Mus musculus: one gene and its partner. The protein of the gene in region 2 binds, or shares a complex with, the protein of the main gene of each other region. Links are inferred from orthologs where the notes say so. Each region holds a gene or a part of one and is shown on either strand. Other genes may lie near its edges.

Region 1 (4,546 bases), on a different chromosome or scaffold from region 2:
AGTTGGCGGCGGAGGAAGGGCAGGCCAGGCAGGCATGAGGCAAACAGTCTTTATTGGGTTCACACCAGGAGTCCGTTGGTCTTGAGGACCTCTGTGAACTTGCAGATTTTCTTCTCCACATTCTTTTCTGCCTGTTTCCGTAACCTCTGTGGTGTGAAAAGACACATGTCAGAGCGGTTGCTTCTCACCTGCGCCCCCCTAATCCTGGATCTCAGTGTCCGTCCTCACCAAGATCTGCTTCTTCTTCCGATAGTGCATCTTGGCCTTTTCCTTCCGTTTCTCCTCCAGAGTGGCTGTCACTGCCTGGTACTTCCACCCGACCTCATGCGCCAGACGCCCCAGGTAAGCAAACTGCAGAGGCACAAGGCTGTAAGGACATGGAATGTGCCCCAGCAGCACAAGGGTGAGCCGGAGGGCCTAGGGACCCTATTTCAAGGACTCATCCCCAGCACGGGAGCCCTCCTGGCATCAGCTTAGCCTTTGGCATTATCGGCACTGCCCTAACTGTGGCATCCGAAGACCATCGTGAGAATAAGAACATCATGTGCCAGTCTTGAGGCTCACAAGCCTAACCTGTAACCTAGAGCTTACCTTTCTGGTAGGCTTCAGCCGAACAACCTTGAGAGCAGCAGGGACCACCATCCGCTTTTTCTGTTGAGAGAAAGAGATGCTCAGAGACCTGTTGGGAACACCTAGCAAGAAGGCCAGCAGGGTAGGCGTCTCAGCCAGTGGGGTTTTCATGAGGCTCAAACAATGTAGGTAATAGCAGAACATCACAGACGCTGGACGCAGAGGCTGTAAGGCTAGGCTTGCAAGGCTCACCTTGTCATAGGGTGGAGGGATCCCATCCAACACCTTGAGGCGCTCCAGGGCAGCCTGGCCTCTCTTGGTCTTGTGGGGCAGCATGCCTGTGGGGGTAACAGCGGGCCTCATCAGAGGTGCTGAGAACCCCGTCTGACCCCAGGGCAAGGGCTAGAACAGCCTCAGATGGTAGTGCATGTAGAGTCATCTCATAGTCGAGCAACTCGAACATGAGTGGGAGATGTCTCATCACAAGCTGCCAGAGCCTACCCTGTCCTACATGTCACCACATCACCAACTCACCTCGCACAGTGCGCCAGAAAATGCGGCTGGGGGCTCGGAAGTGGTAGGGGCCTCGGGAGGGGTTGGTATTCATCCGCTTCCGGAGAAAGGCCAGATACTTTACTGTCAGGACAAAAGTATGTGAGGCACCCTTGGACCCAAGAGCAGAGCAGATAGCCTGCTTGTCCAGGAGCAAGGCAACAGCCCGCCTGAAGACCACTGCCCCAGCCCTAACTCACACTTGTTTCTGTAGAAGTTTCCAGAAATGTTGATGCCTTCACAGCGTACGACCACCACCTTCCGGCCTAGAGTTAACAGGGAGTTGGAGATTAGTCAGCAAAGCCTCTTGGAAGGCAGATCTCTTGCTCCAAAAGTATTTTTAGGCCAGGGGTCCCAAGAAAGCAGGGGCTGGCGAGTCTCAGAGCGGTGCATGGGTTGATCTCACAGTCGTGAGACTCAAACGAAAGATGGTGAGTGTTGCTCATCATGGACTCCCAGGCAAAGGTAAATGGTGAATGAAACTTACCCAGAAGTACCTGCTTGGCCACAATGGCCGCCAGGCGGCCAAGAAGATGGCCTCGGCCATCCAATACCAGAACCTGTGGAAACAAGAATGCTTAGGAAACAGTTTGGCTTCCCCTATTCCAGGTTAGCAACCCGTCAGGATGCCTACTACCCAGATGAAGCAAGTGTCCCAAAGGGCCACTATAGTACTAACAAAGCCTCAGCAGGCATAGGATTCCTATTGTGTATATAAGTTGATTTTTTAAAATGGAACTTCATTTAACCCTTCCAGGCCTCAAATCCCAGGATAGCTGGGATCCAGTGGCACACCGTTCACTCCAAAATTGACCAGACCTGCTTTCAGACTTTAGCCTGTTGTAACTTTTCATCGGATCCTCAGATGCTCAAGCAGAACCTTTCTTATATGCACTCAAAAGAACCCGATTTAGCTAAGCACACATCGTCCTGTGATTCTGAGCAGTGCAGACTGGATTACAAAGCTAAATCCCGTCTCAGGCATGGAGGCACATGTCTGCATCCCAACCCAAACTACAGAAGAAGCCCATTCCACAGCCACCCTGTTTATTGCTGTTACTGGAGGGTCTCCGGAACTTCCCAAGTTCTTTTTAAAGGGCAAAACTGTCCCAAACAGCACCATTTACTTCCTGAGCAGCAACCTGTCAAGGAATCTAAAGTCAGGAGGAAGGTACAGGCAATTCCTGACCAGCCTCAAAATGAAGAGGTTCCTGCTTCAGTCGGGTGAATAAGTAATATTTAAAGTCTGTCTTATCAATCTCCCCAATTCTGAAGAACACCGAAAACACCCTCAAAAGGCCTACAAGCCTTCAGATCAGATGTTACAGGAATCCGGTGCCCTAAAGTCATGCAAAGCAGGAGCCTGCGACAGTTTCTCCTTATCTTACATACATACACCAGGCATGAGAGATTGCAAGCTCCCCGCACCCCAACGCCTGAGATTACAACCTGTAAAAGTTGTTTCTGGTGTTGGAACCCCAGCCCCACTCCCGTCTTCCCCAGAAAACCCGCTGCATTTCCATCGCCCCATACCTAGGCAGCCGCGGCTTGTTACGCCCGTTACACAGTCCCCTCGCGTGAGACGTTTGCTAAGTCCCATCGCACAAGCGGCGGGGAGCAGTGGCCCCTCACTGCGCTCCCGCCTGGCACCCACCCGACCCCACACCGCCCGGCGCGCGCAGAGTCCGAACCTGCCCCTCCGCCATCTTCGGCAGCCGCCTGGGAAAGGAGGAGGTCTTGTCGCAGGGTTTCTTATCCCTTGCTGCAGGGGCGGAGGAAGTGACGCAGACGGCTCGAACCGAAGAGTTTCCGTCTTCTAATTGGTCGAAGCGGTGAGTGCGCGTCTATCGAGGCGGGCCATTTTTATTTTGTCCAATCAGAATGTCGCCTGAGTTGGCTCTTGGCGGCCATGACTGTGCGGGGCGGGATGTCACGTGGGTTTCGGAGCGGCTTCAGCCGTACAATGCCGGCCAAGCCGCAGCCGCCATATTTGAAGGGATCGCTCTTCTCCGTTCCGGTGTCTGCCATGTGCAGCGCCATTACTCCCATCAAGTGATGGCGGCTGCAGAACATGTGGTGTCCATGAGGGGGCGAGCATAGTCCCTGTCGGCCCTTCAGAGCTGCTCGTGCAGCGGTCCCTCCCCTCAACCCCACAGTGGGCTGACCATCGCTGGCTGTCCTGAACCTGGGAGTCTCGGGTGGAGGAAGCCTTCCAACGGGTGGAGGAAGCCTTCCTGGATGGAGGAGGATGGGGTGAATGAGGGGCTTTGAGGGTCCCGAGACGCAGACGCCCTCACTCGCTTCTATCCCCAAAGGCCTTTGTTTCCGTGACTGTTGTCCGCGCTGCCCTCCCGTCTGTGCGCCTCTAACCGCCCGCCTCCGAAGGGAAATAACTAACCAAAAGACTGTTGGCTATCAAAGACTCGTTTTGTCCTGAAAACCTCCCTAACCAGCCGAGCCTGAGTCGAGTCCTCCTGTAGGTGCCAGCACCGTTTGCTTGCTTGTTACACTTTGGGGCTATGGTTTTGGGGAATTGAGTTGCGTCTGCACATCAAATTCCCATGGGGCGTGCCCTGTGCTGACCCTGGGCTACTGGAGGCCTCGGAAAACAAATAGAATCTTTTGTCGTTGGTTTGGGTTTCTGACGTAAGATTTCTGCAATCCTGGCTGACCTTAAATTTAAGATCCTGCCTCAGCTTCTGGAAAGCCAACAAACCAAGATTTTGAAACCTAAAAGGTGCACCTATTCCCTGTCCTATCCACAGACAGACCCGGATGAGCTGGTTAAAAAAAAAAAAATTATATACAAGTACATGGGGGCAAGAATGGGGTGAGTGGGACTTTTGGTGAGTTGTGATGTCTCCATCCTCGGCAAAGAGCTGGCGGGGTCGGAGCAGTGAGGTCCAAAAGGGGGCTAGTCTCCACCCAAATGTCTGTGTGTCCAGGCTGTGTCTGTCGGGTGACTCCTGCTTCGCCTCAGTATCCTCTGTAAAAGGGGGTGATCAATGGTCCCTGAGGACTGGAGTTCTCACGTGACACTCTACCACTGATCTACGCCCCCAGCCCAGCCCCTCGCCGCTCCCCTCCCCCCCCTCTTAGGTTAGCTTCGGACTTCTATGTAACAGTAGATAACCCAGAATCCCTGATCTTTCTGCCTCTTCTCCAGAGTGCTAAGGAATACAGACAGATTTACACCGCAAACTTTGCTCCATGTCTTTTTTTTTGGAGGTTTTAGGGGCAGGCCTGGTGGCTCACCTGTCTCGGAGGAGGCAGAAGCAGGTCGATCTCTTGAGTTCCCAGCCAACCTGGTCTCCAGAGTCAGTTCCAGGTCAGATAGAGCTAAGTGAGACCCCGTTTTAAAAGAAACCAGATCTTGGCCTTCAAGCTGGGTTAATGGGTAAAGAAGGCCTCTGCTGCCAAGTTT
Region 2 (4,394 bases):
GGCACGGGCCACACAGCTGTCAGTCTAACACAGCCTTGGCTCTGGGGCCCCAAGGAGGTAGGGCAATCTGGAAGGGCAAGGAGCCAAGACTAGATTTGGGGTGCAGCCCAGCGTGCTCCCTGCCTTTTAAGCAAAGGTTATCACCAGGCCAGCTAAACTTAGCAATAGGCTCTTGAGCTAGATGAGCAGGGGGCTGGTTTCATGTTGCACTGGCCTAGCAAAGAGGCGCCAGAGTCCCCCTGCCCTGCACCTGCTACAGTGCTCCCAAGCCCTTCCACCCTTCCCAGCCTCCCTACCCTTCGGAGTGAAGAATCCCGGTCTCGAAAAGACAAAATAAAACCAAAGAATGCCTTTTCTCCCTTCCACTTGTGGCAAGAGGCTAGGGGCTTCCCTGTCCTGGCTCAGGGGTATAATATTTCCTCTCCTGTGTTCTCCCCTCACTGATCTCACCCTGTGTCCACGAGGGCAGCCAAAAAAGGAGAGTCCCTGGCTCCAGGGCCAGTCAGCACGTCCCTGGATGGGGAGGGACTTCCGCCCTCACGTCCCAACTCTCCACCCTGGGGCTACAGTGGGTGAAAGGGGCAGTGTCTCCTAGCCTGGGCGGGGCAGCTCTCAGGTTCCGAGGAGGGATACTATAGGAGGCCTCTGAGCCTCCTCCAATTCAACCCTTAAGAGGGATGCTGCCCTTACCCCGGGGTCCCAGCTTAGGTTCATCAGGTAAACTCAGGAGAGTGTTTGTAAGTCTCAATTATCAGGTTTCCAGGCTGCAGGGCATCCTGACCTATGGCGTAGCAATCTCCTTTTCAAGCGTCTTCCTGGCCACCCCCTTGCCCTCACAGCGCGGTACACAAGCCAGGCCTCTGGCCAAAGACAGAAGCCAGGAGGGGGGGGGGGGCAGATAGGGAAATGGGGCTCCTGAGGGCTCCCGCGGGAGGAAAAGTGCCCCCACCCTGGCATTTTCTTCCACTCTTTTTTTTTTCGGGGGGGGGGGTTGCTGTGTCACTACCGAAGAACAACGAGGAGAAGATCCTCAACTTTTCCGCAGCCTTTTCAATAATGGGGAGAGGTTCGATGATGCAGTGGCAGGGAGACCCACACTTCTCCATTTCCCCTGTTCTCCCATTTTACTCGGGAAGCAGCATTCAGGTCTCTGGGTCCTGGATGTCCTTGGTGCACACTCCAAGGACTCCTCGTCCTTAAGTTCATAGTCTGTATTCCCTGAGTCCTATCCTGGGAACCATCACCCGGTCACCTCCTGAGCGGGGCAATCTCAGCTCCCCTCCCCCTATCAGTTCGGAGCCCACACGCTTGGTGCGTGCACATTTCAAAAATGAGGCGGGTCCAAAGAGAGGGAGGAGGGGAAATGAGAGAGGCCCAGCTACTCGCGGCTTTACGGGTGCACGTAGCTCAGGCCTCTGCGCCCTTGAGCTAGGACTGGATAAGCAGGGCGGGAGGCGGGGCGCGCGTCATCAGCTCCCCCCCACCATCCGGGTTCCTATAAATACGGACTGCAGCCCTCCCTGGTGCTCTCTGCTCCTCCCTGTTCCAGAGACGGCCGCATCTTCTTGTGCAGTGCCAGGTGAAAATCGCGGAGTGGGCCGCAGGAGGCCGGGGACAGTCGGAAACTGGGAAGGGGAGTGGGCACTGTACGGGTCTAGGGATGCTGGTGCGAAGTGTGCAAGCCGGACCCAGGCTCCGCATTGCAGGGGGGGGATGATGGAGGACGTGATGGGGCGCACGGCGGGAATGGAGGCGGGGTGGGGGAGGGGACTGCCTGGTGTCCTTCGGGCCACGCTAATCTCATTTTCTTCTCCTGCAGCCTCGTCCCGTAGACAAAATGGTGAAGGTCGGTGTGAACGGGTGAGTTCCAGGGCGGGGCCCTGCTCCGTTGCCTACGCAGGTCTTGCTGACCCGGGGGCTCTGCAGTACTGTGGGGAGGTGGATGAGGTGGCCGAAGCGCCCAAGGAGACCTCAAGGTCAGCGCTCGGACCTGGCGATGGCTCGCACTTGCGGCCCCCAGCTGCTGCACCTCTGGTAACTCCGCCTTTGCGGGGATGAGCGGCCCGGAGTCTTAAGTATTAGGAACAACCCCACGCGCCCGTTCAGACCCATCCCGTAATCCCCAGTCCGGGGCTTCTTTCTTTACTTTCGCGCCCTGAGGAGTCACGTGCCAGGAGGGAAGCCCCTCCCCCATCTCCCCCTTCCTCGGGGTCGGTGGCATGGCGTTGTGAGGTGCATACCTTTGCGCATCATCTCCCAGGCTTGGGCTTCCTTTAGGGTAACTGGCCGCCGCCATGTTGCAAACGGGAAGGAAATGAATGAACCGCCGTTATGAAATCTTGCTTAGGCCTTCCTTCTTCCTAGCTTGTGACTAACCTCATTCCTCTCGGCTGGGTGGAGTGTCCTTTATCCTGTAGGCCAGGTGATGCAAGGCTTCCGTGCTCTCGAGAGAGTTCTACCTCACAATCTGTCTCACCTTATTAGCCTTAAAAGCCCTTGAGCCTTATTGTCCTCGGGCATAATGCGTATTCTAGATTATTCTCTGAAAATCAAAGCGGACTTACAGAGGTCCGCTTGACCTCCCAACCCCAGAGGTAGTTATGGCGTAGTGCAGAGCCGTGGGATGGGGAGCTGAGTCATGGTGGTTCTGAAAAGAAATTTTCCACCACAAAATGGCTCCTGTAGTAGCAGCCCCTTCCATCCCCTGCACTTCCCATCACAGCCTCGCACTGACCCAGGCCCTATAGGCCAGGATGTAAAGGTCATTAAGAGGATTGGGTGTCCCTGCGCCTCAGAATCCTGCCCTTCTCCCCGTTCCATCCTCCAGAAACCAGATCTCTCCACTCCGCCCTGATCTGAGGTTAAATTTAGCCGTGTGACCTTTCTGGATCTGGGGTCTGAGCGGGCTCTCCACCCTGCTCCCCCTACACACATCTGTTGCTCCGGCTCTCATTTTTGCCCGAGAAGAACAGGTGTTTCGCGAACGAGCCCTGGGATTAGGGTTGGAAACCCCCCACATGTTTTCTCAGTCTTTCCCCTTAGTTCGAGGGACTTGGAGGACACAGGTGGGCCCGCCCTGTGCTGCTCACGCTGACCTTTAGCCTTGCCCTTTGAGCTTGCTGATGAATGAGTTCACAGGTCTGCCCTGTCCAGGGGGTGTAGCCTGAAGTCCAGCCATGCTGGAACAAACTTCCCAGGGCATGAGTGATGGGGGTGATGTGCCAAGCTTGTACCCAGACTGGGGCAAACTGCCACTTCTTAAGAGACTTAGAATGACTTGGAGGAGGTTTGCTGGGCAAGCAATCACCTCTTGGACAGGAAAGAAACCTCCACTTTATAACCGTGCTATAAAAGCCCTGCCAGGCCTCGGCTGCTCAAAGAATATAAAATTAGATCTCTTTGGACTTTCTAGGGTGGGAACAGTCTATATTTGGGTTGTACATCCAAGCATTCAACTAGCTTTATTAAAGGGAATTCTGAACAAAACATGAACTTCCTGATGCATACATTTCTAATGTACTGTGTCTGCATAAAGGCTTGTACCTTTGTTGTGGTACGTGCATAGCTGATGGCTGCAGGTTCTCCACACCTATGGTGCAACAGTATTCCACTCTGAAGAACATGAGATAGCCTGGGGCTCACTACAGACCCATGAGGAGTTCTGATCTCAGCTCCCCTGTTTCTTGTCTTTCAGATTTGGCCGTATTGGGCGCCTGGTCACCAGGGCTGCCATTTGCAGTGGCAAAGTGGAGATTGTTGCCATCAACGACCCCTTCATTGACCTCAACTACATGGTCTACATGTTCCAGTATGACTCCACTCACGGCAAATTCAACGGCACAGTCAAGGCCGAGAATGGGAAGCTTGTCATCAACGGGAAGCCCATCACCATCTTCCAGGAGCGAGACCCCACTAACATCAAATGGGGTGAGGCCGGTGCTGAGTATGTCGTGGAGTCTACTGGTGTCTTCACCACCATGGAGAAGGCCGGGGTAAGTGGCCGGAAAGCTGAAGGTGACGGGCACCCTTGATATGGTGCAACCTGAAAACCAAGAACTGAGTCTGAAATCAACTTCTTTCCCTTAAACAGGCCCACTTGAAGGGTGGAGCCAAAAGGGTCATCATCTCCGCCCCTTCTGCCGATGCCCCCATGTTTGTGATGGGTGTGAACCACGAGAAATATGACAACTCACTCAAGATTGTCAGCAATGCATCCTGCACCACCAACTGCTTAGCCCCCCTGGCCAAGGTCATCCATGACAACTTTGGCATTGTGGAAGGGCTCATGGTATGTAGGCAGTGGGGAGACAGCTCATGCATTTCTTATCTTACCCTGCCATGAGTGGACCCTTCTTTGTAGGTGTCCCTTTTGGGTAGAGGGGTGCCGTGCAGGA

What was found.
Region 1: Gapdh (region 2) and Rpl13a share a complex: the UniProt entries of both Homo sapiens proteins name them as parts of the GAIT complex. The link is inferred for Mus musculus from reciprocal best matches to the Homo sapiens genes GAPDH and RPL13A.

The regions. Positions count from the first base shown.
Region 1 is NC_000073.6:45,125,887-45,130,432, forward strand, and holds the start of Rpl13a (60S ribosomal protein L13a), read right to left. Parts: upstream 2,860-4,546; 5' UTR 2,829-2,859; coding exon 2,814-2,828; intron 1,683-2,813; coding exon 1,610-1,682; intron 1,578-1,609; exon of another isoform or gene 1,497-1,577; intron 1,389-1,496; coding exon 1,323-1,388; intron 1,207-1,322; coding exon 1,105-1,206; exon of another isoform or gene 978-1,104; intron 909-977; coding exon 823-908; intron 783-822; exon of another isoform or gene 717-782; intron 652-716; coding exon 592-651; intron 550-591; exon of another isoform or gene 461-549; intron 352-460; coding exon 229-351; intron 147-228; coding exon 60-146; 3' UTR 1-59. UniProt on the Homo sapiens protein: Associated with ribosomes but is not required for canonical ribosome function and has extra-ribosomal functions.
Region 2 is NC_000072.6:125,162,737-125,167,130, reverse strand, and holds the start of Gapdh (glyceraldehyde-3-phosphate dehydrogenase), read left to right. Parts: upstream 1-1,357; 5' UTR 1,358-1,579; exon of another isoform or gene 1,580-1,819; coding exon of another isoform or gene 1,820-1,837; coding exon 1,838-1,860; intron 1,861-3,694; coding exon 3,695-3,992; intron 3,993-4,090; coding exon 4,091-4,288; intron 4,289-4,394. UniProt on the Homo sapiens protein: Has both glyceraldehyde-3-phosphate dehydrogenase and nitrosylase activities, thereby playing a role in glycolysis and nuclear functions, respectively.